Linked DNA regions of Oryctolagus cuniculus. The protein of the gene in region 1 interacts with the protein of each later gene in a biochemical or structural test. Links are inferred from orthologs where the notes say so. Each region holds a gene or a part of one and is shown on either strand. Other genes may lie near its edges. The genes, in order: CDH1, CTNND1, CCNB1 and JUP.

What was found.
Region 2: the proteins of CDH1 (region 1) and CTNND1 form a complex in vitro, tested with the Homo sapiens proteins (5 studies listed by BioGRID and IntAct, with this or other methods). The link is inferred for Oryctolagus cuniculus from reciprocal best matches to the Homo sapiens genes CDH1 and CTNND1.
Region 3: of the proteins of CDH1 (region 1) and CCNB1, one has a biochemical effect on the other in vitro, tested with the Homo sapiens proteins (3 studies listed by BioGRID). The link is inferred for Oryctolagus cuniculus from reciprocal best matches to the Homo sapiens genes CDH1 and CCNB1.
Region 4: the proteins of CDH1 (region 1) and JUP form a complex in vitro, tested with the Homo sapiens proteins (2 studies listed by BioGRID). The link is inferred for Oryctolagus cuniculus from reciprocal best matches to the Homo sapiens genes CDH1 and JUP.

What each region holds. Positions count from the first base shown.
Region 1 is NC_091449.1:51,967,860-51,974,796, forward strand, and holds part of CDH1 (cadherin-1), read left to right. Parts: intron 1-337; coding exon 338-481; intron 482-611; coding exon 612-767; intron 768-1,329; coding exon 1,330-1,474; intron 1,475-3,831; coding exon 3,832-4,007; intron 4,008-4,135; coding exon 4,136-4,264; intron 4,265-5,262; coding exon 5,263-5,445; intron 5,446-6,429; coding exon 6,430-6,674; intron 6,675-6,937.
Region 2 is NC_091432.1:14,352,382-14,359,318, reverse strand, and holds the end of CTNND1 (catenin delta-1), read left to right. Parts: intron 1-3,307; coding exon 3,308-3,370; intron 3,371-3,854; coding exon 3,855-3,958; intron 3,959-4,368; coding exon 4,369-4,530; 3' UTR 4,531-4,553; intron 4,554-4,740; coding exon of another isoform or gene 4,741-4,752; 3' UTR 4,753-6,864; downstream 6,865-6,937. UniProt on the Homo sapiens protein: Key regulator of cell-cell adhesion that associates with and regulates the cell adhesion properties of both C-, E- and N-cadherins, being critical for their surface stability.
Region 3 is NC_091445.1:90,144,632-90,152,091, forward strand, and holds the start of CCNB1 (G2/mitotic-specific cyclin-B1), read left to right. Parts: upstream 1-2,374; 5' UTR 2,375-2,518; coding exon 2,519-2,539; intron 2,540-2,942; coding exon 2,943-3,113; intron 3,114-3,205; coding exon 3,206-3,358; intron 3,359-4,236; coding exon 4,237-4,419; intron 4,420-7,121; coding exon 7,122-7,280; intron 7,281-7,460. UniProt on the Homo sapiens protein: Essential for the control of the cell cycle at the G2/M (mitosis) transition.
Region 4 is NC_091448.1:20,925,310-20,932,832, reverse strand, and holds the start of JUP (junction plakoglobin), read right to left. Parts: upstream 4,818-7,523; 5' UTR 4,660-4,817; exon of another isoform or gene 4,575-4,659; intron 1-4,574. UniProt on the Homo sapiens protein: Common junctional plaque protein. The membrane-associated plaques are architectural elements in an important strategic position to influence the arrangement and function of both the cytoskeleton and the cells within the tissue.

The DNA.
Region 1 (6,937 bases):
GATGGACAGATGCCTTGTTTAGGCTGGAGCTCACTTGTGAGTTCTCATCAAGCCTTGCAACCTGTCTGTGTGTGCTTGGTAATGACTTGGACCCCAGACACCACGAAGGGTCAAGCGGGAACACGGTCTTACGCGGCCAAGGGGTTCGTGCGTTTTGTGTTGCCCGTTCTTTTTGGAGAATGTGTATCTCACTGGTCATTGATCAGAGAGGGTGTCACTAAGTGAAAGCCACACTCTGCCTTAGAGAGACCAGATGACGCCTCCTGGATGAGGTGGGCCGTCGGACCTGTAGTGTCGCTCCTGAATTCTCATTTTTGTTCCTCCTCTTTCCTTGAAGGAGTCTTCCCCTGGAGCCAGCACGGAAGTGCTCACGTTTCCCGACTCCCACCATGGTCTCAGAAGACAGAAGAGGGACTGGGTTATTCCTCCCATCAGTTGCCCAGAAAATGAAAAAGGCCCATTTCCTAAAAACCTGGTCCAGGTAAGGAGGGCAGTTCTCTATTTGGGAGAAATCGAGCAGAGCAGCACCGGGGAGAGAAGGGGAGGAGACCTGACCGGGGGAGGGGTGTCGTTGCTCAGCGGCCCTGTTTGCTTTTGGCTCCTGCCTTCAGATCAAGTCCAACAGGGACAAGGAGACCCAGGTCTTCTACAGCATCACCGGCCAGGGAGCCGACACGCCGCCTGTTGGTGTCTTCATCATCGAGAGGGAGACGGGATGGCTGAAGGTGACGGAGCCTCTGGACCGAGAACACATCGCCAAGTACACGGTGAGTGCCTCCGAGGAGCTTGGTTGACAGTGGGTTGGCTTCCGTCCAGAATCTAGGTCAACCCAGATCAGATCCCCGACATGGGAGGGGCTCGATCTGTTGCCAAGGAGACGAGACAGGGGCACCCAGGACAATTTGAAGTTGTGAATTGTTTTCCTTTTAGGAGAAAGGGGGGGACAGTGCTCTCGTACCATGCGTGAGTTTAGACCCAGGATATCAACCTGCTCTTGGCTTAAAGGAGCAGTGGTGACACTGGGGGAAGAACCAGTTCCTGGACTTGGTAGCAGGCAGTGTGGGTTTGGGGCGGCTGGAGGGAACGTGTTGGTGCACGTGCAGAGGGGTCTGGGGCAACTCCAGACTGGATGGCTTTATCCCTTCTGGGCCTGATGCCCTGGTCCTCGGGGTGGGAAGCAGAAGGGGGTCAGGATCTCACTGAAGCAGCAGCCCAGGTCTCAGAGTAGAAGTCGCAGAGGCCGGAGGATCCCACACTGCCCTGGCCAGGCCCATCCTCTGCCTCTTCATCCTCGCCGGGGCCCGAGTAACCTTCCACTGGCTCCTGCAGCTCTTCTCTCACGCCGTGTCGTCTAACGGGAACGCCATTGAGGACCCGATGGAGATCGTGATCACGGTGACGGACCAGAACGACAACAGGCCTGAGTTCACCCAGGAGGTCTTCAAGGGCTCGGTCATGGAAGGCGCGCTACCAGGTCTGTCCAGGACGAGCGGCTGGTTGCCTGGAGCCGGGGTCAGGCCCCTGACGCGGACCCTTGCTGTGGACAGAACTTGTTTGGGAGCCAGTGTGTGTGTGTGTGTGTGTGTGTGTGTGTGTGCACATGCAACACAACCTAGCCTCAGGAATGTGCGACTGATGGAGCAGTGACAGCCACCTCCCCCCCTGCCTAACACAGCAGTGCTTGTGTATTGCTCTTTGTTCTTCTAAGGTTTATTATTTGAAAGTCAGAGTTAGCCATCAGTTTTCCGTCTGCTGGTCCACTCCCCAGACAGCCACAACCATCAGGGCTTAGCCAGGCAGGAGCCAGGAGCTTCATCCAGGTCTCCATGTGGGTGGCAGGGGCCCAAGCGCTTGGGCCATCTTCTGCAGCTTTTCCCAGCCCATTAGCAGGGCACTGGATCGGAAGTGGAACAGCTGGGACTCAAACCAGGACCCATATGGGATGCCAGCATCGCAGGTGGAGCCTTACCTGCTTTGCCATAGCCACATGTGCTGCTCACACAACATGCTGAGCCATGTTAAGCGATGACAGAGTGTCTCCCAGGTGGCTGAACCGGTTTACATTCCCACCAGTAATATAGATCCTGGGCTTACTGGACATTTTGGCGTTTGCCTACCTGTCGTGTGATTATGTCTTAGTGCAGTTTAAAAGGGCATCTCAGTGATTACCAGTGAGCTACACAACTTTGCTAGCCACTTGTGTTTCTTTTTCAGGACTGTGTGTGTGTGTGTGTGTGTGTGTTTCTGTTGGGCTGGTTGTGTTCCCTAGTGATCCTTTTCCTAACTGTGTAGTTGTTTAAAAAAATTTTACTTATTGAGGGATAGAGAAAGAGCACTCCCATCTGCTGATTTACTCCCCAAATACCCACAACATCTGGAGCTGGCCAGGCTGAAACCAGGGGCCAGGAACTCCAGGTCTCCCATATGGGTTGCAGGGACCCAAGTACTTGGGCTATCACCTGCTGCCTCCCAAGGTGCAGTAGCAGGAGGTGGAGTCGGGAGCAGAGCCAGGACTTGAAGCTAGGCAACTCCAGTGCCTACTCAGTGCCTTAGCCACTGGGCCAATTGCCTGCCCCCTTGTTGATTTTTTTTTTTTTAAAGATTTTATTTATTTGAAAGGCAGAGTTAGAGAGGTGGAGAGAAAGAGAGAGAGGTCTTGTATCTGCTGGTTCACTCCCCAAATGGCCACAACGTCAAGAGCTGGACCAACCTGAAGCCAGGAGCTTCTTCCAGGTCTCCCATGTGGGTGCAGGGGCCCAAGGACCTGAGCCATCTTCCACTGTTTTCCAGGCGCATTAGCAAGGACCTGGATCAGAAGTGGAGAAGCTAGGACTTGAACTGGCTCCCATATGGGATGCTGGCACTGCAGGCTGGGGCTTTAACCCTCTACGCCACAGTTGCTGGGCCCAAACCCTACCCTGTTGATTTTTAAGCATTATTTAGATGTTCTAGATACTAGACTAGACACTAGTCTCTTGTCAGTCACACGTGTTAATGAGTATTTTCTTCCACCTTGAAGGCAATGATCTCAAATTACCATGCACTCCAATAAAGCTGCAACAACAAGCCAAGTGAGGAAAGTTCTGGAATGTTCTTTCTGTCTGTCTGTCTGTCTTTCTTGGCAGAGGAAAACAGGAGAGATTGATTGATTGTTCATCTTCTGGCCCACTGCCCAGATGGTTGCAATGGCCATGGCTAGACCAGGCTTAAGCCAGGAGCCTGGAAACTCCATCCAAATCTCCCACCTGGGTGCAGGAACCAAGCACTCAGGTCATCTTCCGCCGCCTTCCCTGGCACATTAGCAGGGAGCTGGATCAGAATTAGAACAGCCGGGGCTCAAACTGGTGCTTGTACATAATGCCAGCATTGCAGATAACAGCTTAAGGCATCACACTACAATGCCAGTGCCTGGATTTTTCTTATCTTTGATGCCATTCACTCAGTAAAGCCACATCACAAAGTGTTGTAGAGATATTTAGTCCTCAGATTCACCTCTGCGTGCTGCCCGAAATGTGTGTTGGAAAAGTTGGGTCCTCGTTTGGCTGGATGCTTTCTTCCTCCCCTTGCGCTTTAGTGAGAACGTCAGAGAATTGGCATCAGCTGCTGGTGGGGGAGCCTGGCTGTCGCAGGCATCCGGGGAGTTAACTGGTGGGAAGGAGCTCGCTCCGTCCGTCTCTAACTCAACGGATAAAGTAAAAGTTCAGCACTCAGGGCCCAGGAGCTGGGACGTGACCGCATCGAAGCTGCCCTCTGTCCTGTGGGCACGAAGTCGGCCCCAGGGCGGCCGTCAGGTTCCCAGCCTGATTGCGTCTTCTTCCCCGGGGCAAACAGGAACGTCCGTGATGCAGGTCACGGCTACGGACGCGGACGATGACGTGAACACCTACAATGCTGCCATCGCCTACGAAATCCTCAGCCAGGAGCCCGAGCTGCCGCACAAGAACATGTTCAGGATCAACCCGCAGACCGGAGTCATCAGTGTGGTCACCACCGGGCTGGACCGAGAGGTCAGGAGGACCCAGGGGACATGGAAGCGGCTGTGTGGTTGGCTAAATCCCGTGGCAGTGCGAGGCCACTTGTCCCAGAGCGGCGGCCGCTGCCCCCGTCCTAACCCGAGTGTGCTTGGTCTCCGCAGACGTACCCCGAGTACACCCTGGTCGTTCAGGCTGCTGACCTCCAAGGCGAGGGCTTGAGCACCACGGCGGAAGCGGTGATCACGGTCACTGACATCAACGACAACCCTCCCGTCTTCAACCCCACCACGGTAATCTCCCAGCGGTGCTGCTGCCCTCTGTTTGGGAGCCGAGCTTCCCCACTGCTCTGGGGAGGTCCTGCGTGCGCTCCCCAGCCCGGGCGATGCCGACTTAGAACCTGGAGGCCAACGCTCCGGCCTGGCCGTTGTGCTCGGGCATCTTTTTTCCCATCTCTGGCCCCGAGGCCCCTTGGTGGAGGACCGCGAAGATGCAGACAGCGCCCCTCAAAACCATGTCCTTGCCTCGCGTGTCCTTGTTGCGGATCTTACAGGGGTTCATTTACTCGCTGGGCAAATGTTTCCTGCTTGCAGCTGCACACTGTGGCGTGCGCTGGAGGCATCCTCACAGACAAAGCACACACAGGTTCTGTTCTACAGCTCAGCGTCTAGCCGGGGAGATACTGAGTAGTTTGCACGCCTTACTGAATACCAAGTATAATAAATGCATTCTGGAAGAAGGCACCGAGGGCCGAATGGAAGAACTTACTGTATTAGTTAGGAGTTGAGTTATTGGCTGGCTACATAGGCCTGATTATGTAAACAAATAGGGTTGACTCTTTTTTTTTCTCTAATGTGGCAAAAAGCCTGCAGGTAGATGGGGTACGCTTTGCTGAGGCCACTTGTCACCTTAGTGTGGTGACAGCAAAGACCCCAGGGAAGAAAGCCAAACAAGGCAGGTGTCCAGGAGCTCGTGGGTAGAGGGGAGAATGTTAGAATTTGTCCTTGGGCACAAAGGTGCCCTCACGACCAAACTCTGGAAGGAGATGACTGATGGAGGGTGCACGGGGGTGGAGCTGGACCGCAGTGTCCATGCGGGGCTTAGGTCACTGCCCCAGCTGGGTTGGCAAGCTCTCGGGGACTTGGGGAGCCAGGGCCTTGGAGAGCTATGCACAGGGTAGCTGGCCTGGCCTGTTGTACCAGGCCTCCTGCAGGCTCCGTTAGCCCCCTGGGCCCCGGGCACCCTGGGCCTCTGCATACCGGGATGACCTGTTCCTCCCTTGGCTCTGCAGTACGTGGGCCAGGTGCCCGAGAACGAGGCCAACTACCTGGTTGCCACGCTCAAAGTGACCGACAAAGATGAGCCTAACACCCCGGCCTGGGAGGCTGTGTACACCGTATTGAACGATCCTGAGGGCCAGTTCATTGTCACCACGGACCCGGCCACCAATGACGGCATCCTGAAGACAGCCAAGGTTTGTGCAGTGCCGGGAGGGGACGTCCCCCAGCTGTTCCCACCAACCCCCACCCCCCGGTCTTCTCTGGTGTCGGTCAGCGTTTGCTGAACCAGGACCTGGTGCGATGGCGTAGGGGTCGTAGTGACCTGCAGGCCAAGCGGAAGAGGATGTCCTGTCTGCTTTCCTGTGCTCCTTCCCAGACCACACTCCACCTCCTTTTGCAAACGGCAGGAAGCAGGGTTCCGGAGGCAGAGACAGACACAGAGCCCTCTCATCCACTGAGTCACTCCTCAAATGCCCGAAACACTTGAGGCTGGAGCAGGCCAAATGCGGTAGCCTGGAACTCCATCCAGGTCTCCGGCGTGGATGGCGGGGAGCCAAGTGCTTGGGGGTCACCTCCTGCCTCCACAGCGCACGTTAGCAGGAAGCTGAGATGGAATCCAGGCGCTCCATGTGGGATGCCAGAATTCCGGTTGCATCCTAACTGCTGAGCAGATACAGCCGTCCTCGAGAAGCGTCTTAGAGATGTGAAAACCGAGACGTTTTTGCTGAAGGTAGTCATGGAGGTCATGGGCGCCTGGCCCAAGCCCAGAGCTTCAATTTCCGTTTGAGCGAGCAAGCAGCCAGGTGTGAGAACTGCTGGTATGGACTAAGTAACAGCCATTGCTCTAATCTTTTTCTTGATATACAATTTTTTAAAGCTGCTGCTGCTGCTTTTTTTTTTCAAAGATTATTTGTTTGGAAGGCAGAGTTAGAGAGAGAGAGAGAGGGAGAGAGAGGAGAGAGAGAGAGAGAGAGAGAGAGATCGATCGATCGATCGATCTTCCCTCTGCTGGTTCTGCTTCATTCTCCAAACGGCTGCAATGGCTGAGGCTGGGTCAGGTCAAAGTCAGGAGCCCGGAACTCATCAGTGCAGGGGCCCAGGCCCTCGGGCATCTCCGCTGCCTTCCCCGCACCCCGGCAGGGAGCTGGACCTGAAGCCCGGCCTTGTTCCGTCCTCAGGGCTTGGACTTCGAGGCGAAGCAGCAGTACATTCTCCACGTGACCGTGCAGAACGCCGTCCCCTTCGAGGTGGCCCTCCCCACCTCCACGGCCACCGTGACTGTGGACGTGGTGGACAGGAACGAAGCCCCCATCTTTGTGCCTCCCGAGAAGAGGGTGGAGGTGCCCGAGGACTTCGGCGTGGGGCTAGAAATCACATCCTACACCGCCCGGGACCCGGACACATTCATGCAGCAGAAGATAACGTAAGTGTGCTTCCCCAGCTGCCAGGCAACAGCTGGTGTTTTATGTACACATGCAGACATACGTGTTATTTTATAACCTTACCCATGTAATTGTATGTGATGTTTCATGGCTACTTATCAGTAAGACCTTTCTCGTGTTTAGTTTACTTTTTAAAAAAGTTTTATTCATTTATTTGAAAGGTAGAGTGAAAGAGACAGGAAGAAAGAGAATCTTACAACCACTAGTTCTCCCCAAATGCCCACAACAGCCAGGACGGAGCCAG
Region 2 (6,937 bases), on another chromosome or scaffold:
AGCTCCTGGCTCCTGGCTTTGGATCAGCTCAGCTCTGACCATTGCGGCCCTTTGGGGAGTGAACCAGTGGAACGGAAGACTGTCTCTCTCTATGGCTCTACCTCTCTTTAACTCTGTCTTTCAAATAAATAAATAAATAATACATCTTAAAAAAAACTGTACAACTTTTACATTTTTGCACATCTTTTTAAACAATACTTTTTAAAATTAAGATACTACTTATGATAACATGTAGTAAACTTGTTATTTTAAGTAAAATAGATATTTAAATTTCAGTATGATAATATTAACACACATAACCCACATCAACTGAAAGCTCTTTAGAGATGCTCCTAATTTTTAATATTGCTTTTATTGTTCATTATTTTAATAATTATTAATATTATTGTTATAAATAATTAACAATATTAAATTATTAATATTAAATTATTAATAATTTATTTGACAAGTAGAGTTATAGACAGAGAGACAGAGAGAAAGGTCTTCCTTCCGTTGGTTTACCCCCACAAATGGCCCCTACGGCCAGCACTGCACTGATCCGAAGCCAGGAGCCAGGTGCTTCCTCCTGGTCTCCCCTGTGGGAGCAGGAGCCCAACCACTTGGGCCATCCTCCACTGCACTCCCAGGGCACAGCAGAGAGCTGGACTGGAAGAGGAGCAGCCAGGACTAAAACCTGGTGCCCTTATGGGATGCCAGTGCCGCAGGGAAAGGATTAACCAAGTGAGCCATGGTGCCGGCCCCTATTATTTTTATTATTATTATAGTTTATTATATTTATTGGAGCTGGCATTGTGGCTTAACAGATAAAGTTGTTGCCTGCGATGCCAACATCCCAGATGTGCACCAGTTCATGTCCTAGTTGTTCCACTTTCTGTTCAACTCCCTGCTATGGCAAGGGAAAAGTAGCAGAGGATGGCCCAAGTGCTTAGGTCCCTGCTATACATAACGTGAGAGACCTGGATGAAGCTCCTAGCTTTGGACTGCTCCAGCCCTGGCTATTGTAGCCATCTGGGGAGTGAACCAACAGATGGAAGATCTCTCAGTCTATAGCTCTTTCTTTTTTCTTTTTTTTTTTTTTTTCTTCCGACAGGCAGAGTGGACAGTGAGAGAGAGGGACAGAGAGAAAGGTCTTCCTTTGCCGTTGGTTCACCCTCCAATGGCCGCCGCGGCCGTCGCACCGCGCTGATCTGAAGGCAGGAGCCAGGTACTTATCCTGGTCTCCCATGGGGTGCAGGGCCCAAGCACTTGGGCCATCCTCCACTGCACTCCCGGGCCATAGCAGAGAGCTGGCCTGGAAGAGGAGCAACCGGGACAGAATCTGGCGCCCCGACTGGGACTAGAACCCGGTGTGCTGGCGCCGCAAGGTGGAGGATTAGCCTAGTGAGCCACGGCGCCAGCCAGTCTGTAGCTCTTTCAAATAAATAAATAAATCTTATTTTTTTAAAAAATATTTATTTATTTATTTGAAAGACAGAACCTGTGAGAGAGAGAGAGAGTGAGTGAGCTTCCATCTTCTAGTTTACTCTGCAAATAGCTTCAACAGCCAGGGCTGGGCCACACTGAAGCCAGGAGCTAGAAACTCCATCCTGGTCTCCCATGTGATGGTAGGGGCCCAAATTCTTGGGCCATCATTCACTGCCTTCCTAGGCAGTGTATTATCAGGAAGCTGTATCAGAAGTGGAGCAGCTGGGACTCAAACCAGCACTCCAGTATGGGGTATCAACCTTATAAGTGGTGACAATCTGCTGCTCCACAGCACTGGCCCCTTTATTATTATTTATATATATTTATTATGTTATTATTTTAAAATATTTTATTTATTTATTTGAAAGGCAAAGTAGCCGGCGCCGTGGCTCACTAGGCTAATCCTCCGCCTTGCGGCGCCAGCACACCGGGTTCTAGTCCTGGTCGGGGCGCCGGATTCTGTCCCGGTTGCCCTCTTCCAGGCCAACTCTCTGCTGTGGCCAGGGAGTGCAGTGGAGGATGGCCCAAGTGCTTGGGCCCTGCACCCCATGGGAGACCAGGAGAAGCACCTGGCTCCTGCCATCGGATCAGTGCGGTGTGCCGGCCGCAGCACGGCGGCCGCGGAGGCCATTGGAGGGTGAACCAATGGCAAAAGGAAGACCTTTCTCTCTGTCTCTCTCTCTCACTGTCCACTCTGCCTGTCAAAAATAAATAAATAAATAAATAAAAAATAAAAGAAAGAAAAGAAAGAAAAGAAAGAAAAGAAAGAAAGAAAGGCAAAAGTAACATACACCTAGAGAAAGGGAGAGATCTTCAATCTACTTCACTCCCCAAACATCTACAACAACTAAGGTTATGCTAGGCTGAAGCCAAGAACCAGGAACTCCTTCCAGGTCTTCCCACGTAGGTAGCAGGAGCCCACTCATCATCTGCTGCCTTGCAGGTACATTAGCAGGAAACTGGATCAGAGCTAGGATTAGCTGGTTCTCAAACCAGGTACTCTGACATGGTTTGTCCCAAGCAGTGGCTTAACCCACTGTTCTGCAACATCTGCCACTTGGGACACTTTTTTTTTTTTTTTTAAATTTATTTATTTAATTTGATAGGCAGAGTTACAGAGAGATAAGACACAAGCACACACACACCCATCTTCCATCCGCTGGTTCACTTCCCAAATGGCAACATCGGTTAGACTTGGGCTAGGAGATTCCTCTGGATCTCCCACGTGGATGCAGGGGCCCAAGAACTTGGACCATCTTTCCCAGGCATACTAGCAGGGAGCTGGATTGGAAGTAGAGCAGCTGGGATTCGAACTGGCACCCATATGGGATGCTGTTGCTGAAGGCAGCAGTTTAACCTGCTGTGTCACAGCACCGGCCCTAGGACCACTTTTTTTTCTTTAAATTTATATTTGAGAGTTATAATTACAGAGAGGGGGAAGAGACAGAGAGAAAGGCCTTCCATCTGCTGGTTTACTCCCCAGATAGCCACAATGGCTGGAGAGCTGGGCCGATCCAAAGCCAGGATTCAGGAGCTTCTTCCTGGTCTCCCATGCAGATGCAGCTTGGACTATCTTCCACTGCTTTCCCAGGCCATAAGCAGAGAGCTGGATTGGAAGAGGAGCAGCCAGGACAAGAACCGGCGCCTACATGGGATGCCGATGCCACAGATGGAGAGTTAGCCTACCATGCCACAGTGCCAGCCCTTTAGGGCCACTTTTAAAGGCCCTTGGGGGCCAGTGTTAAGTGCTACCACTTGCTGTAGACCAAAGAGTAATTTTTGTGATGTGTCTAGAGTTTAAAGAGTTGGTTTTTGACCTGGATAACTTTCTGACTCCTTATAGATAAGAAACCAGATCGGGAAGAGATTCAAATGAGCAGTATGGGATCTAACACAAAATTACTAGGTAGGTGATTGATGCCTCTTAAGGATTTAGAGCTATTTATCTCTATAGGTTTTTCTAATATCCTCAGTATTTATCATACTGGAAAAGCATTGGCCAGTCATTAAATTTATTTAAATTTTGCTCACATAATACCATTTTCTTGTTTGCTTTTCTACGTTCTCTTCATTCCTAAAGGCTTAAGCTCATGTTTTCCTTTGCCAGGTCCTTCCCAACTATTGTAGCTTACTTTGCTCTCCTTTTGCTTAATTGCAATACTCTTTACAAACAGATCTCTTCAGTTTAGCTTTGTTATTATGTGTTGTACTCTGGGTGTCTCATGTATGTTGTCTTTCCTGTTGGTTTCAGGGACAATTAAGCATTAATGCCTTTCTGGAACATTTGGCAAAGCTCAATTTCTGTCAGAAATATGTAATTCATACTTACCTGTTTGATATATATTGTACTTGAGAGGGTAAGGTCATGTTTCTGTGTGCTTTCTCACTAGATAACAATTATTCCACACTTAATGAGAGAGGGGACCACAACAGAACACTGGATCGATCCGGGGATCTAGGTGATATGGAGCCATTGAAGGGAGCACCATTGATGGTAAATTCTTGTTATATACTATTGGCCATCTAAGACTAGTTCTATTTTGAAGCCTGCATATTTTATGAAATAGGAAAAAAAGGTACAGAGAGAAAGACCCTTTTCTTGTTGGTGTTTTCAGTAAAAAGTGGGAGTTTTTGATTCATTTTGGGATTTGTTGGGTTATTATTCTGCTGTGGTCAAGATGGGGGAAGGGAAGTCTAAATGTGTTACTGTTATGACTAACACTAACTGATCTGTTCTCATACTTTGCCTTCTTCCTGAACCTGCCTGTGTGAATGTTGTGCCCTTCTCTTACTGTCATCTTGTTTTGTTTGAGTTTATAGATTTTGGGATTTGCACTCGGTCTGGCACACTCTCACGAGATTCCTTTCTCTTCACTCATACTAACAAATTGCATGTGTTCACAGCAGGACGAGGGACGGGAATCTCTGGAGGAAGAGTTGGATGTGTTGGTTTTGGATGATGAGGGGCACCAAGTGTCTTACCCCTCCATGGTATGTCCTCCAGTCTCTCCTGAGATCAGACTTGAGGAAGAAGGCTCCTGTGTGTCAGCTCGCCAATCATGCTGACCTGATCAGACCCGAGACACCAGGTCTCAGCCTTGCGGGGCTCAGGGGGCTCTGCTCCTTTGATTATTACCTCTTGAGAAGCTGGGGCCTGCAGCTGGTGATCTGATTCTTGGTTGTGTGCTGCTTTCCTCCAGATTTACTCAACTGTCTTTTTTGGGGTCTCCTTACTCCCAGCTCTATTAACATCCTCTTTCTCTTTTCTTCCCACAGCAGAAGATTTAGCACCACCATCTCCGCTCCATCTGGGCTTATAATATATGTACTTTTATTTTTTGGTGGTGAAATGGACTGATGATTTTTTTCCTTTCTTCGCTGGACTATTGTGCCAACTGCCAGGCTGCCTCCTGCTCTTATAGCCCTAAGTGGCTGCCTTCTTTATATCAACTCCCAACTTCTTCCAGTGAAGTTTAAATGTCCTACCCACCTCCGCCCCCATTCCCTCCAGTTTCTCCCAAGAAGCTTGACTCAGTTATTTGCATATTTTGAGAAACTGCTGCAGATTAGCTCTTTTTGCCAACTCTCCCTTGAACTCTTGGCCGTGTGTAGAGGAGGGAGAGAGTGGGAATCTTCTTCACTGGAAGCCATGGGAAGAATTGGAACTTATATGCAATATATGCAGTGTTGAGCAATCTGACAAACTGATGGTTCTTAATCAAGATTTTTTTCCCCTGGTGGGGAAGGGACTTTTTATTTCCTTTTGGAGACTGGGAAGTATGAGTTCTTCCTTTACTCCTAATGGCTATTTTTGAAGCAAAGAAGGCTGGCAACATTGGCACATTCCACCTGGCAAGGGCCCTTGAGTAAGTGAAGGTCTTCTAGAACTGGGATTAAGAATTCTTGCTCTCCTCACCTATGGGGCAGGGACCATCAAAGACCTACAGACTCCATCTCTTCTACAAGCCTCATGTCAACTTTGGGCTGCAGCCGCTGAGGCTATCCTTAGCCCTCCTCTCCCGCGTTGTGATATGTCTGCTGACTTGGCCTGGCCGTTTGCAAGAAACTGTTTAAAGAGGAGAATGTCAAGGAAGACTTTTGGTTGAGAAGGAGCAGAAAGATGTCTTTTGGAAAGAAGAGGAGCCTCTAGGAGGAGCTAGTAGGAATGTACATGAAGTGGTTAGTCTGAAACTGGCAGGAAGCTTCAAAGCTGGCTTCCCCCTCTCCATTTCTCCTTGTCCTCCCCTTTCATCCCCTGCCTCCTCCCTGGATTGGTTGGCCAACTAAGGACTTGATGTATATAACTCCTGTCCCCTTTACCCTTATAATGTGGGGATTGCCCCTGGCTTTGCCTCTTCTTTGTGCCTTTGGCCTGGGGTGTATCTCCTCCCTCCCTTCCATGTGCCTTTCTTTACCTCTGCAGTCTCATTTCTCATGATTTTGCAAATTCTATTTTGTTGCTTTCTTGCCCACTATTGGCCCTCAGTAATAGAAAGAAGAGGAGAGGTGACCTAGAGAACCTCAGATTCTCAGTTGGGGATTGGCGTAGCTTTTGAGTTTAGCCATAGCAAGCTTTTGCTCAACAGCATCAGGTTGGGGTTTTGCAAAAATCCCATTCTGATAAATCTCAAAGTGGAATTAATGGGAGGAATGCGTGGTGTGACTCTTGTTCTTTAGTTGCCCACAATTTCCCATCATCTCTGAAGGGGTCGTAGGGAAGTCATCTTTCCCGATTTCCTCCTTCTTGCTAATATTGCACCCTCTTGCTTTAGTGTGTATTAGCAGATTGGGTTAGAGGAATCAGCTGCTATGCGGGTTAATTTTTTTTTTTTTTTTGATCCTTTTCCTTATTTGCCTTCTACTCCCCTTAATCTGAAAGCTCTGTTCAATGCAACTGGAATTCTTTATCCCTCTTTTCCCCTTCCCTTATGTATTGAGGCTATGGGGTAGGAGAAAAGTGCACAATTCACCCCCCTTCCCCATATGTTAAAACTCCTTATTTGCCTCTCCCCCTCCCATTTCTTCCTATTCCCTTCTACCTTATGTTATCCGTGATCCCCGGAGCACACTGCACAGGGGAAGTTGCCCCATCCCCACCTGACTCGACTCTTGGTTTCTCTTGCCCTCCTCTGCTTTTTTCCTGGTGCTCTCTTTTCGGTGGGATGTGGGTAATAGAACAGCCATGGGCTTTTGGGGACCTTTAACTGTTTTTTTTTTCCTTCTCTCATTTATAAAAACACTAAACATTCAATTCCAGAGAACCAAAAATCCCACCTTCTCACCGAACACTACTAAGGGGCATGCCTTCTGCTCCATATCTTTTCTCATTTTCTTTCTTTCTTGTTAATGCTTTTAAAAACAAATGAGTTTTTTATATAAATAAAGTTTTTAAAGTGTGTATGTGGGGGGTCTGTGTCATTTCTTCACTTCTAGCTGTATCTTTTCCCTCCTTTTCATCTTGGTTACCTCCTTA
Region 3 (7,460 bases), on another chromosome or scaffold:
CATCCCACCTGAGCACCAGTCCATTTCCAATCCAGCTCCCTGCTACTGCACCTGGGAAAGCAGCAGAACATGGCCCAAGTGCGTGGGCCCCTGCTACCACATGGAGTTCTAGGCTCCTGGCTTCAGCCCGACCCAGGCCCAGCCATTGCAGACATTTGGGGAGTAAACCAGCTCTCTCTGTCTCTCTCTCTAACTCTGCTTTTAAATAAATAAATAAATAATTCTTAATAAAAAAACCTGGCGTTTTGGTGATAATGGGGTGTCAGTATAGATTCTCCTATTGTAACAAAGCTACCAGTCTGGTGTTCTATATTGAAAGTAAGAGAAGCTGTACTTGCATAGGTAAACCTCTACTTTCTGTTCAGTTCTGCTGTGAGCCCAAAACTGCCCTAAAAATATACTAAAGTTAATGCAATTTTATTAAGGATTTTTGTTAAATTAGTAGATTTTAGCAGCCCTGTCACTCAAAATAAGTTAATTCTGTTGCCAGGATAATAGATATGTTAATCTGGCTCACTACAGCAACCATTTTGGCATCTATTTGTATCCCCTAACATCATGTGTGAAACTCAAATATATACAATATAACTTACTTTAAACTAGATTGTAAAAATGTTCCAAAATAAAATAATTTTTAGAAATGGAAGCAGAGGGTAGGTTGCCCAGGCTTCCCCAACCATGAAGAGGTGGGACAGGGACTCATCAAACCCCAAAGACTTACTGTCGATGGACATCTGGGCAGAGCTGCAGGATGCCTGGGAGTTAGCTGGACAGAATCCAGGGTTCTGAGGGCAAGAAGGCGGACAAAGACCCCATGGCAGGCACCCTGTGGGGGCAGAGAAGAATGACGATGACCTAACATTGAATGATGATCCAACCGCACTGAATGGGTGCTTTCTGCTACGCCAGGGGTCTTACTGGCTAGTACAGAGCTGTCTTGTGTGATCCCAGTGGTTTTGTCTACCTGCCTTCCAAGTGCTGAGGTCCTGTGTGGTTGGGGAGGTAGAAAGCAAAAAGGACCTGTTTGTTTTCTTTGGCACCACAGAGAAGCCGATCACATGACAAAGCATATGGGATAAGGTCTAACAAAGGGGCCAGCACTTGCTACCTGCAGTTCCAGCATCCCATCTGGGTGCCAGTTCGCGTCCTGGCTGCTCTACTTCTGATCCAGTTCCCTGCTAATGTGCCTGGAAAAGCAGTGGAAGATGGCCCAAGTCCCTGGCTCCTGGTTCAGATCAGTGCAGCTCCGGCCATTGCAGTCATCTGGGGAGTGAACCAGCGGATGGAAGACCTCTCTCTCTCTCTCTGCTTCTGCCTCTGTCTGTAATTCTGCCTTTCAAATAAAATAAATAAATCTTAAAAAAATGTTAATGACAGTTAAATCTGGGTAAAGGGTGCAGGGATGTTCCTTATAATTGGGTGTTTACAGCTGTTGGATAGGATATTTTTTCCAAATAAAAAGCAAAGCGACTGGCTTTGGGAAACCACGCAAGCTTTCAAAAACCAACTAATCAGAAGCAATATGGCAAGTTGACATTCTTCACATTTTTTTACTTATTTGAAAGGCAGAGTGACACACACAGAGAGGGAGAGGCAGCAGTTATCTTCCACCTGCTGGTCATTCCACAAATGTCTGAAGGAAAACCGTATGGGAACTCCATCCTGGTGTCCCGCATGGGTGGCAGGGCCCAGGCCCGGGGCTGGCCCAGCCTGGGCAGCAGGCGAGATGGGCGGTGGCCTCTCCAGCTGGACCCATCAGCCCCGAGGCGGGCATTCTTGAGAGACAAAGTCGTGGGAAGAAAAAAAATCACAGCTCCACAAAGAAAGGCAAAAGCAAACCACGGTCACCCAAACACCCCTGAGTTCCGGCCCCGCGCGGCGAAAGTCGCCGGGTCCCCGGGCTTCAGCGCCGTCCACCCCCGAGGGCCGCTGCAATGGTCACCTCAGGGCACGCACGGCCATGAAAGCCTGTGGTTAGCCCGAAGGAATCCCCGCTGCCACCGTGGAGGCAGACCGCGTGCACCGCCACGCTGGACTGCAGCCGGAGCTGCTTCACCCGCTGCGGGCACCGCGCACCGCCCTCCCCCGACCCCCGTCGCAGCTCAAGGCCAAGGCTCCGCGGCTCCGCTCCGGCAGCCCAGCCGCGCCCTCCCGCCCCGCTGCCCCGCTGCCCCGCTGCCCCGGGCGCCCGCGGGCCGCAGCCCGGTCACGTGGGAGCCGGGAGGGGCCCGCCGCGGCCGCGCTCTGCGCCCGCCCCCTCTCGAACGTCCTCGCGCGGTCGCCCTGGAAACGCATTCTCCCGGCCCCGGCGCCCGCCAATGCGGAGGGAGCGAGTGCCGCGAACCGGCCAATGAGGAGGAGCGGAGCGGGGTTTAAACCTGAGCAGGGGCCGGCGCCTCCCGGCGTGCTGCGCAGGAACGGCCGGCTGTTGGCTTGTGGAGGCTTCTGGTCCGCGACGGGTCGGGGCCTCCGGTGTGCTGCGTGTGCCCGCCGCCCGCCGCCTGTCGAGGAGGAAGCCATGGCGCTCCGCGTCACCAGGGTGAGTGGCGGCTTGCCTGCTCGGCGTCAGGGGGCCCTGGCGCGGGCCGGGCCGGCGCCCCGGGAGTGGTGGGGAGCCCGGGGCCGGCCCAGAGGGAGGCAGGGGGCCGCGGAGGTCCGGGAGGTTTGGGGCTGGAGAGAGGGCCCTGGGGAGCCCGGAGCGGGGCCTTTCGGTTTCCTTTCAGATGTAAATTCGGATGTCTTGGGGCTGGCCGGCACTTCATTGGAAGCCCCTGGGTTGGCGAACGAGGGGGTTCTGGGAGGAAGCGGACTTGCTGGGGCCGTGGGCCGGACCCTGGAGCCCTTGTTCCCCGCTCGAACCCGTGCCCAGTGCCCCGCCCTGCGAAGAGCCGCCTCTCTTGTGGCCCACCTTCATTATCCCGCGGTTGACTTGCCTCTTTCAGAACACGAAAATTAACGTGGAAAACAAGGGGAAGATGACCATGGCAGGCGCCAAGCGTGTGCCTGTGGCCACCGCTGCAGCCTGCAAGCCCGGGCTGAGGCCCAGAACGGCCCTGGGAGACATTGGTAACAAAGTCAGCGAGCAGCTCCAGGCCAAAGTGCCTCTGAAGAAGGTAGCCGCCCCTCCGCCTCCCGCCCCCACCCCCCACCCCTCACCCCCAGCCCTGGCCTGCGCAGGGGCATCCGTTCTCTCTCTCGTCTGCAGGAAGCCAAAACTCTACCTACTGGGAAAATCCCTGCTAAAAAACTCCCTAAACCTTTGGAAACGGTGACTGTACCGGCATCTGAGCCGGAGCCGGAGCCCGAGCCCGAAGCTGAGCCTGTTAAAGAAGAAAAACTCTCGCCTGAGCCGATTCTGGTAAATGCATTCTACCCGTTTAGAGGCTGTTGATTGCTTGGGATAGCATTTGAATAAACAGTGACAGTAGCAAGTAGTGAGTGCGTCCCAGGAAGCAGGCTGTGCGGAGCACCAGGCAGGCACGGACTCACACGGCCTTTACATGCACACAGTCTTCACAGGAAACGCCCGCCGTCTACATGTCCAGTCTCGGTCCAGGCGTCCTTTGCCTTCATCCCTCGAAACAGCTCAAGCATCAGCTCCTGAAGTTTTTCCTGTCCTCCCCCACCCCCACTCCTGTTCCTGGACTCGGTCACCTTATTTGTCTATACTAAACTCAAAGCCCTTTGGGGATGCCATTAAGTCAACGCTTAGTACAGAGTCTGACTTGAAAAATGCGCTTGGAAAGTGTTTGAACAATGGGGTAAAGATGGCTAGAAGGAAATGGTAACTAGTAATGAAAATCAGTTAATTTCTGGTAGTCAGGACAGAACTTGTATTCTGAGTAGTGAGAAGCAGTCCATGTTTTTTAGCAATACAAAACCAATGTCTTTTATTTGGATTGATTTCATATGATGGTGGTAGGTTCACATACATAGGTGTCGTATAATGGTGATATAACGGTTAGGTTCATTACCTAACCGTTTCCTTTGGAGGAAAGTCTAGGACGCGATTTATTTGCTTCTCTTTCACCTGTTAGTGTTTATGTTCTGCTGACTTTAACTTGGCTAAGTCTAAGTTGATGTTTCACTTTTGATATCACTTCCTAAAAAATATAATACATCTGGAAAGATACTTTTCCATTAAGGAACTGAATTATACGTCAGTTGTCTGATCTCCATTCCCAGTCGTGGCATGTGCTCCTCTTTGCTGTTGCTTAAGACATGTCTCTGTTCCAGGTTGATACTCCCTCCCCAAGCCCGATGGAGACGTCCGCATGTGCGCCTGCAGAGGAGTATCTGTGTCAGGCGTTCTCGGACGTGATTCTTGCAGTGAGTGATGTGGACGCAGAGGATGGGGCTGATCCAAACCTTTGTAGCGAGTATGTGAAGGATATCTATGCATACCTGCGACAGCTTGAGGTCAGTATTGCTGGACTGTTTTTTCCCAAACAACAGCTAGCTTTATTAAAGATGTTTTTCTATCAACAGTCCATAGTAATTCAAGCAGGATATAGGCAGTATTTCTTTGTTTCTATTTTTTTTAAGATTTATTTATTTGAAAGCTTACAAATAAGAAAGATTTTATTTATTTGAAAGTTACAGAGAGAGGTAGAGACAGGGAGAGATCTTCCGTCCGCTGGTTCACCCCAGATGGCCGCAACGGCTGGAGCTGTGCTGATCTGAAGCCAGGAGCCAGGAGCTTCCTCCGGGTCTCCCACGTGGGTGCAGGGGCCCAAGGGCTTGGGCCGTCTGCTGCTTTCCCAGGCCATAGCAGAGAGCTGGATTGGAAGAGGAGCAGCCGGAACTAGAACCGGTGCCCATATGGGATGCCGGCACTTAAGGCCAGGGCGTTAACCCAATGCGCCACAGCACCGGCCCCATCTTTGTTTCTATATTTATTTTCATTTCATCTGAAAGATAGGGACAGATCTGCTGGTTCACTCGCTGATGCCCACAACAGCCAGGGATGGACCAAGCTAACTACAGGAGCCAAGAACTCAATCTGTGTCACCCACATGGGCGACAGGGACCCAAGTACTTGAGCCATCATCTACTGCCTCACAGGGTAGACACTATCAGGTAGCTGGATTGGAAGCAGAGGAGCTATAGGCCGGAGCCTAGAGGAAGAGAACAGGGCTTAACAGGAGCATCCTGGGACCCCCTGCCCTAGTTTCAGCCCATGCTAGGTGTCAGCTCTCCCTTGAAGATGTCTGAGGCTCCTCTCCTATCAAATAAAAGACCACAGCTCAAATCCGGATGCACTTGTGCCTTTTATCGTCCCCAACATCTAATTCCATTCTGTAAGTCACCTCATCATCTGCTTTCCTTCTATTTCTAGTCACTCCTGATAAAAATAATACTTATATTTCCAGATAGCCCACAAAGCCTACTTAACACATAACATTTCTGCTTATGCCTTAGATTGACAGGCAAAAAAATAGAAAATGGTGCTACTCTAAGACTGGCTATCACTTTAAGACAAAAAATGAACAGAAAATTAAATTTCTTCTATTTTGAATATTTGTGCTTAAGAAAAGTCAGATAAGTTAGTAGAAGATAAAGAGGCAGATGGAAATTTTTGTGAAAATCATGAAGAAAATTGGAGTGCATCCAAATGCCTAGAAATTAAATTCCTGGGACTTTATTATATCTAATGTAAGTACAAATCTCTGCCTCTTTCTACTTGACACAAGGAATCAGGCTACAAGGATATACATTTAGATGTGTTTGTTTATGCATGTGCACAAGGGCATACACTCACACAGCAATGAATATACTTGTACAAGAAACACAGGAAAGCAAAGAGGATAATGCGGCAAAACAGCTTCTCTGCGATGACTAGAAGATGAGGGACAGAGGGGGAAGCTTTAAAAACAATACATGTGTACTGAGAACTTCCACGTTGATTATGACCTTGTCTAAATAAGGTCGGAGGTTGTGAACTCAAGAGGCTTCCATAGCCTTGGCAGCTCATGACAAGAACCTTGGGTGATTATTGACGTCATGAAAGTGTCAGTTGTTATATCAACAATGGGAGTCACTGTATACTTGCTCCTCATATAAGACCTCTGTCCTTAATGTGTTGTACTATCAGAATTAATGGTAAAACTAATCTTCAGGCCGGCGCTGTGGCTCACTTGGCTAATCCTCCACCTGCGGCACCAGCACCCCGGGTTCTAGTCCCGGTTGGGACACTGGATTCTGTCCCGGTTGCTCCTCTTCCAGGCCAGCTCTCTGCTGTGGCCCCGGGAATGCAGTGGAGGATGGCCCAAGTGCTTGGGCCCTGTACCTGCATGGGAGACCAGGAGGAAGCACCTGGCTCCTGGCTTCGGAACGGCACAGCGCGCTGGCCGTAGCGGCCATTTGGAGGGTGAACCAACGGAAGGAAGACCTTTCTCTCTCTCTCTCTCTCTCTCACTGTCTAACTCCCTGTAAAAATTAAAAACAAAACAAAAACTACAGATAGTACTTTTTACTTTGTGTGTCTGTGGGTGCAAACTGTTGAAATCTTTACTCATTATAGAGTTGATCTTCTGTATATAAAGATAATTAAAATGAATCTTAATGAAGAATGGGATGTGAGAGGGAGTAGGACATTGGACAGTTTGGGAGTGATATGAGGGGAAGAGCCACTATAATCCAAAAGTTGTACTTTTGAAATTTATGTTTATTAAACAAAAGCTTTCTATTAAAAAATAAAAGTGGGGGGCCAGCATTGTGTATAGCAGGTTAAGCTACTGCCTGCAATGTTGGCATCCCCCTTGAGCCCCAGTTCCAGTCCCTGCTGCTCTACTTCTGATCCAGCTCCTTGTTAGTGCACCTGGGAAAGGAGCAGAAGGTGGCCTAAGTGTTGGGCTCCTGCCACCCATTTGGGAGACCTGGATGGAAGTTCCTGGCTTGGGTCCTCAAGCTGTTGTGGCTATTTTAGGAATGACCAATGGATGGAAAATCTGTCTCTCCCTCTCTCTCTAACTCTTTCAAATACATCTTTAGAAAAAGAAGAAAACTTGGGTTCTAAATGCCCCCAGAGCAATTTTGTGTGGTAACTAACGGTTCTTTCTGAAATATAAGTATCACAGAGAGTCTTGCTTTTGAGGGTAAATCTGCATTTTCTTTTGCAGGAAGAGCAATCAGTCAGACCGAAATACCTCCTGGGTCGGGAAGTCACTGGAAACATGAGGGCCATCCTAATCGACTGGCTAGTCCAGGTTCAGATGAAGTTCAGGCTGCTGCAGGAGACCATGTACATGACTGTTTCCATAATTGATCGGTTCATGCAGGTGCGCATAAGTCATTAATTGAGGGTTCTCCCTTCAGGGTCTTAGCAGAGTCATAAGAAACTGACTTTTTCAGCTAAAATTTGTCATGGGGCATAGGGTGTCATAATTGAGACACCCTATGAGTGTATGTCTTTGCCCACCTCTGCTTCACAGCTCTTGTGTCTGCTTTTCAAACACATT
Region 4 (7,523 bases), on another chromosome or scaffold:
GACAGGCTGAGGAAGAGGGGTCAAGTTCAGATCCAGGGGAGGAGGGAGAACAGCTTCCCCCAGCACAGCTTCCCCCCCTCCCCGCCCCCACCGGGGGCTCCAGCAGCACGGGCTGGTCACTCCCAGAGGGCAGTGGCAGAAGCGGGACAGAGTGGGACAGAGCTACAGTGGCCAGGGCTGGGGACAGGAGACGACAGAGAAGCTTCCGGAGGAAAACCCTGGCTTCCAGACTGGAGGGACGCCCAGGCTGTCCCTGAGGCTGGGGGGGGGGGTGGGGGGGGTGGGACGGGGAGGCCCAGGCCTGCGACCCAGCTGCTGTTTGTTTTCCTCCTTCTGGGCCCCTTCCCAAAGCAAACAAACCAGGGTGGGAAAATGAAGGGGATTCGCGGGAGAAGGAAGCGGCTGAGGCCAAGTGGCTCGACCCGGGAACCCCTGGGCTCCCCTGGCGAGGGCTCCCGGAGGTGACCCCTTGCAGGCAGCGTCCCAAAGCAGCAGGTGAACCCACACCAGGACTCCAACACTTCCAAGGGCGGTCAGCGCACAGGTCTCCTCCCAGTGGTGGAGCCGGGGCAGGAGCTCTGGCCCCAGCTGCCGTCCACTCCCGAGGGTGTGATTCTGCAGGGACCGTAGCCTGACCCTCTCCTGTTCCTGTTCGCTACACTTCCTTGAGCGGCACACACTGGAGAAAGCCAGGACTGGGACAAAGGTTTGGCTAAAACGTGTTCTGGTGGACAGAGCATGACCTCATCAAGACGGAAGCCAAGGCACAAAAGGACGATAAGAAAGCGGAGGAGACCTCGCAGGGGCTGCCGACGGGGCTGGATTCTGGATTTTTCTCTTTCCCTCGTCAACTTTTTTTTAACACCCCAACTTTTTCGCAATCACCCCCAAAGGAGCTTGCTGACTACCCAGCCCCTGTCCCCGACACGGCCCCGCTCCCTGCCACCTGCTGCCTCCACCCCGTCCACCGCTGGAATATGGGGCAATCGGGTCCCTAGACCTCAGCCAGATCCAACCTCGGCCAGATCCAACCCGGGTCCCAGCAGAGGCCTCAGGCTGTTGCGTGCAGGAACAAATTCCAGGGACCTGCCCCCGCCAGCTCGGGGGGGTTGGGGGGGAGCAGCCCGTGCCCTCACTATCGTGTCCCTCCTCTCCCCTCCATGCAGACCCCAGCAGCCCCCTCCCCTCCCCGCTCCAGGCAGGAGGGTCCTCCTCAGAGAAGACACAACACTGGGCCCCCACCTTAAGGGACAGGAAGCTGCCACTCCTTCTACGTGGCACCAGTCTCGGCTCCCTTGCCACCCACTCTCTCGAGTCAGCCAGGACCCACGGGAACCTCTTCCCTCAGTCCCCTCCAGTCCCCTCTGCCTTCTGTGCAGGAGCAGCAATCCCCATGCCTGGGGTCCGCTGGGCCCTGGAGGGGTGTGGAGGCTGCTGGGGCTAGGCTACAGAACCCACCTCCACGCCCCCTCCGGAGCCGGGTGTCAGATGCGCAGATGGCAGCAGCAGTGCCAGACCCAGGCAAGCCTGGGAGGACAAGGGGACGCCAACTCCTCACCCCAGGGCCAAGAGGGGCTCAGGCTGACAGGGGGCACCCATGGCGCTGCCGCCCCCAGTGAAGGAAGAACCCCTGCCCAACCACCTTCCACCTGCCCCTCGGGGCTCCCAGGCTTCCGACACAGGCCAGCCAGCGCCCCACCAAAGCAGGCTGATGGGGACATGAGGCAGCTCTCTGAACCCCGGCTCTCCTCTCTGCACTCCCCAGGGAGCAGCCCCCTCATTTTCTTGGCACAGCCCCAGCACCTGCAAAGCAGGCAACTCCTACTTCCCACCCAGCTCCAGCCCCCTCTGCCCCTTGCCCTCTTCTCCCTGCCCTGTCCCGCCCCTGGCCTTGGGGGAGCTGCCCCCTCCTCCAAGAACTAAGAACCCAAGTCAAGAGGGCGGGCAGCTAAGACGTGAGTCACCCCACCGGACAAACCTGCCTCCACCCACACACACCTCACTGGGCCTTCTGAATGCTCTTCTCGGTCAGGCAGAGGCTCTCCAAAGGGGACAGCAGAAAAAAATCATTCCAGAGCTGCGGGGTGAGCTCTGGGCTTGGAGCCCCAGGACCCAAGTGTAGGCGCTGGCTTCGTAGGGGTCTCACTGTGCGACCTTGGGCAAGTGCTTTAACCGCCCTGTTTCCATCTCCTCTGTGGATAGCAGACAACAACAGCTGCTTGGGAGGAGAGCCGGACAGATGAGGTGGGGACAGTCACGGAGGCTGTGTGCGGACCCCCCCAGGTCTCCCCTTGATCTTAGGTGAGCACCCATCAAGCCCTTGCTGGGGAGCTGGGAAGATTCTTCCCATTTTGCCAATGGAATACTGAGGCTCAAAGAGGTGAAGGGCTTTGACCACGCAACACAGAGCTGCGATGGAAATCAGTGCCTCTCCCCCGGCCCTTCTAGAAGCCCACCGGCCACCAGACCCAGCACACTCCAAGGCAACTGCTGCCCACGGGACCCACCCGTGGGCGTCCAGGAAAGGTGGCAGGCTGCTAGCCCTCGCCTGACCTACTGGGCTCCTACATGCTGCATTCTCCCAGCTCAGCCCTGGCAGCCCAAACAGAGGTTCCACAGGGAATGGGGAGGAGCTGGGGGGGGGGGGGGCTCCTGTCACCCAAGATGGGGTTTGGTCTGGCCAGAAATGACTAATCGGGTCCTACCTCCCCCCCACCCCGCCCCAGACTGCCCAGCCAGGAGCCAGTTTTCACCAGGCACCTCCTAGCAATACTTCCTTGCTATTATCTTTTCATCACAGCCACAAACCAGATTAGCTAAACTAATCATTTAGCCAACGTAATTACAATGCCTTCCCCTCCTCCACCTTAGCGCAGAGAGGAGGGAAAACAGGCAATTTGGGCCCCAACTCCATGGCTTCCTAGAGGTGCGCCGGCACACACCACACAGCAGAACAGGGCTTCGGTCCCCTCCTCAGGCTCCCTCACCCCAAGGAGCAGCCAGATTCTGCCCTGGACACACCAGGGAGGTGGGTCTGGCCTCCCCTCCCCCTCAGGAGGCTGGGCTCCAAATCCCCCAAAAAAGACCACACTTGAATTCTTAAAAACCAGGGAAGACAGCCTGGTAGAGATCCCATGCCGGGCAGGAGGAGCGCTCGGGAAATTGGGGGGGGCAGGTCGGGTGGGGCCCCAAGGCATGTGTGAGGGAGCCTAGCATTGAAGCAAAGCACCCCAGAAAGCCTTGCTCCCGCCTCCCCCTCCCCCACCAAACTCTCCCGGGAAAGGGGGTGGGGAGGCGAGGGTCTGCAGAAGCTCCAAAAACTGGGAAATCAAAGGGAGAGCCAGTCCGGGCCTCAGCTCCCGCCAGGGAAGTCGCACAGGACTCGGTAGAGGAGGGGAAACAGACAAGAATCACCACTCCCCCACCTTCCGCAGTTTGGCCCAGTCCTGCCCCACCCCCATTCCTGGGGAGGGGGCAGAGCTTGGGAGAGAGCCACCAGCGCAGGCCTCATCCGAGGGGGTGTGGTGGTCCCCGGAGGCAGGAAGAGAAGGAAGAAGCTGCTTCCCTTCTCAGCCCACCCCCCACCCCGGCCCCCACCTCGGGCCCCAGGGGCCCAGCAAACAGGATGGGGGTGGGGGCGGGGGAGGCAGGTCAGGGCGCAGGCACTGGGCCGGCGCGGGGAGGGCGCCCTGCCCCAAGGAAGCAGGAAAGCCCCCAGAGAAAGCAACCGCGAACACTTCCTCCAGGAAAGTTTGTTCGGGTGATTTTTCAACAGGAAGGTAGAGAAAGGTAGCTCCGTTCCCACATCGACACTGTGGGAGCCACAGCGACAGAGAGCCGGGCCAGGTGACCCCGAAGCCCTTACCTAGGCACAGACCCCTACCCGCAAGCCCCAGTCCGAGCCACAGGCGCCGGACACCCACTGAGCACTGACCAGGGCTCTGCCCCAGCCCCACGGCCACCCCATCCCACTTCCGCTGGAAGAGCCCCAACCCAGCGCGAACTGGAGCGGAGGGGGGCGCCGCAGGTACTGCGCCGACGGAGCTCCGCGAGCTGCCAGGCAGGGCCTGCGGCTCCGAGCGCTCACCTGCTGGGCAGGTGGGGCTCGCGTCTCTGGGAAAATGCCTGCTTGGCCCCCACAGTTGGGCAAGCCGGGCGCAGACAATAGGGCCCCACCCAGGCCTGGGGGAATAGGGAGGGAGTGAGGGAAGGCGAGGATGACGCGTGGGTGGGGTGAGGGTGGCCCCAAAGAGACCAGTGGCAGCAAGTTTACTAAACCGTAAATTCCCAATAGCAGAGTGAGCCCTAGGACGCGGGCGGAGCAGGTCAAAGTCTCCCCAGCCAGCCCAGGGCGAGTCAGGGACGCGGCATCGAGCTAGCTCCGCGGACTCCGGGGGAGGCGCGACCCTAGAGGCACCTGTCCCGGCCCCTCCCAGCCCTTCTCGGGTCTCGGGCTCATCGAGGCCCGAGGTGCGCTTGGCCCCCACCGCGCGTCCCCTGAGTCGCCGTGCCCAGGACCGCAGCGCGCCCCCTGCCGCCGGTGCAGGGTGGCGCTCCCTGGCACCGGCCCTCACCTGCCCGGAACGGCTGGGACTGGTCTCTCGACCGCTCGCCGCCCCTTTCCTCTCCCCAACGATACCTGGCCCCGATCGTCCGCACCTGCGTGTGGAGCCTGGCCGGGCTGGGTCGGGGTCGGGCCGGGGTGGAAGCCGGCGTGGGCAGCAAACTGAGCTCGGCGCGCTCGGGCGGCGGCTGCTCCGGACTCTGGCCAAGGCAGCAACTCAGTAACCGAACAAAAGGCGAAGGGACCTGACAGCCAAGCCACGCCTCTCGCCCCCTCGAAGCTCCACCCCCTAGGGAGACGCCCACCCGCTGCTGCGAGCTCACTGGTTGCGGCGCCTGACTGTCCCAGAGAGGGGCGGAGCCTCGCGCCCAGTCCTCTTCCACGGCCGCCTCTGTTTATCCGATCGCCATTGGCCCAAGGGACTGCCAGTTGGCTCTAGGGATGGGCCCCCACTTGAGGCACCATATTAACTCTGCACCTATTGGCGGATAGAAAGTTACTTCCTCCTGATTGGACGAGGGGCTGTCAGTAAGATTAAGGAAAGGACCAATGGAAGGGATGGGGTGTGTCTTGCCCCACCCTAGCTTTGAGCAGGTAAGACTCATTACTCTCCCCTTCCCCCTACCTGTCCAACAGGTGAGTCAGGGGGCGCCGTGGGAAAGGACAGACGCCTTCGCCGGCCAGCCCACTTAGCGTCAGGCATGATGTTTCTTTGGGCTTATTCATCCTTGCGCCAAGGTAGTAATCACATAGTTGTGTAGCATTTCATAGGCTTTGTGCTGGGTTGGGATTTTTCCCCCCCGCAGAGGATAGAGAGTTCCTGAAATTTAGGACTAGAAGGCCTGGGTTTGAGTTCTGCCATTTGTTGGTGGCAGGTCGCTTCACCTTTCACCTTGTCTGTCCTCATCTGTAAGATGGGCACATTCACGAGAGGGCCAAGAGCTGGATGAGGTAAGGCCCTTGGACAACTGCTAAGTGTCGGGATTTAAATCGATGATATGATTTTTAAAATGCTGCTGACAGTTCCGAAAAATTGCCAGGACAACCAAACAATCCTCATTTTAAAGATCGGAGAAATCACTAGGAAACGACTTGCCTTGAGCCGGAGCCCCTTTTCTCTGATTTCAAGTCCCACCGAACCTCGGTTTGCTCCTCCTGGAGGAGTGGGTACTGACATCAAAGCAGCGGGGAAGGACCAGGGACACGGCAAAGCAAACACTCTGGGGAGTGATGGAAGGGCGGTTATTTGGTCCAAGGACAGAGCATTGGCATAGGGAGCTTGGGCAGGTGTAGACAGAATCAGGCAGTGGCCGTAAAGGAAGAGGAGTTGGGGCATCAAGGGAGTGGGGCAGCAGGGCTCTCTGTGGTCCAAGAGCCTGGGTTGGATATCAGAAAGAACTTCCCATGGGCAGTGTAAGGTGACAAGGGTATACCCTTACAGTGCCTGAGGAAATGAGTGCTGCTCATGACGTACACTGTGCCAAGAGTCTCACAGATGTCCACTCGTTCAGTGCAAGTATTGAGCACCAATTGTATGCTGGGCACTGGCTTAGACCCTGGTGGAGAGCTCACAGAGACTCTGTGTCAAGTGTCTGTAGCTTGTGTGTCTTGGGGGAGTGGTCGCGTATAGAGAGTCCACCCCTCCAACATGCTTCGCAGCCAGCCGAAGCCAGCACACAGCACGGGCTGGGGGGAGGTACCCCAGTGGCCCCTTGACCACCGTCCTCAGCAAGGGAAGGAGTGATGGCTGAACACTCTCTTGTCTGAAGCCTCACCATCCAGGAGTCTCCCTGTGATGGGGCCAAGGACGCATCGACATCCCTGAACCTACAGCCACCCCAGATGCCATGTCCCTGACCCGCTCCTCCAGCTGACCACGGGCCCCAGCCTGCCACACAGCACGGGGCCGCCCACAGCCTGGGAGGGAAAGCGCTCACCACCCTCGGCTGCTGCCAGGGCCAGGCTGGCTCTTGCTCCCCTCCCCACCCTGACCGGCACACCGACACACCAACACACACGTAGGCCTTCCCAGCCCCACACCTTGGCTCCACTCCCGCCTCATTCTCCTGACTTCAGCAAACGCGCAGGGTAGGGCTGGCTGACTGCAGAGAGGGGCGGGGGCACTGGGGTGGGGTGGAGGGAGGAACCCCTGTGTGTGCGTGCGCACGTGTGTGTGTCTCCCAAGAATGCCCCCTGCGTGTCTGAGTGCGGAACATGCTGCAACACGCCTGCCCCAAAGCTGGGCTCTAAGGCGGAGACTGGCTTCAGGCACCACCCACAGCAGAGAAGATAGATTCCAGCCCTGTCTCTCCTCAGAGGAGGGGATTTTGTGCGCATTTATTAAGCACCTACGGTGTGCCTGCCAGGCACAGAGGATTCCTCCGTAAGTGGTGTTCCCTGGAGTCAGCTGTCTGTAGAGCAGATTTTTTTTTTTTTTTTTTGACAGGCAGAGTGGACAGTGAGAGAGAGAGACAGAGAGAAAGGTCTTCCTTTGCCGTTGGTTCACCCTCCAATGGCCGCCGCGGCCGGCGCGCTGCGGCCGGCGCACCGCGCTGATCCGATGGCAGGAGCCAGGAGCCAGGTGCTTTTCCTGGTCTCCCATGGGGTGCAGGGCCCAAGCACCTGGGCCATCCTCCACTGCACTCCCTGGCCACAGCAGAGAGCTGGCCTGGAAGAGGGGCAACCAGGACAGAATCCGGCGCCCCGACCGGGACTAGAACCTGGTGTGCCGGCGCCGCTAGGCGGAGGATTAGCCTAGTGAGCTGTGGCGCCGGCCCTGTAGAGCAGATTTGCCCTCACAGGAGGAGGTGTCTGGGGGCAGGGACGAGGTGTGCTGGAGGTGTGCTGTGGCCACAGCCTCCCCTGTGCCTTGAACTTGAAGGAAAGGCCATGAGGTCATCTCCTCCAGGACACCCCCCCCCCCCCCCCCCGCCAAGCCTTTAAAGGTAGGGATTTCTCT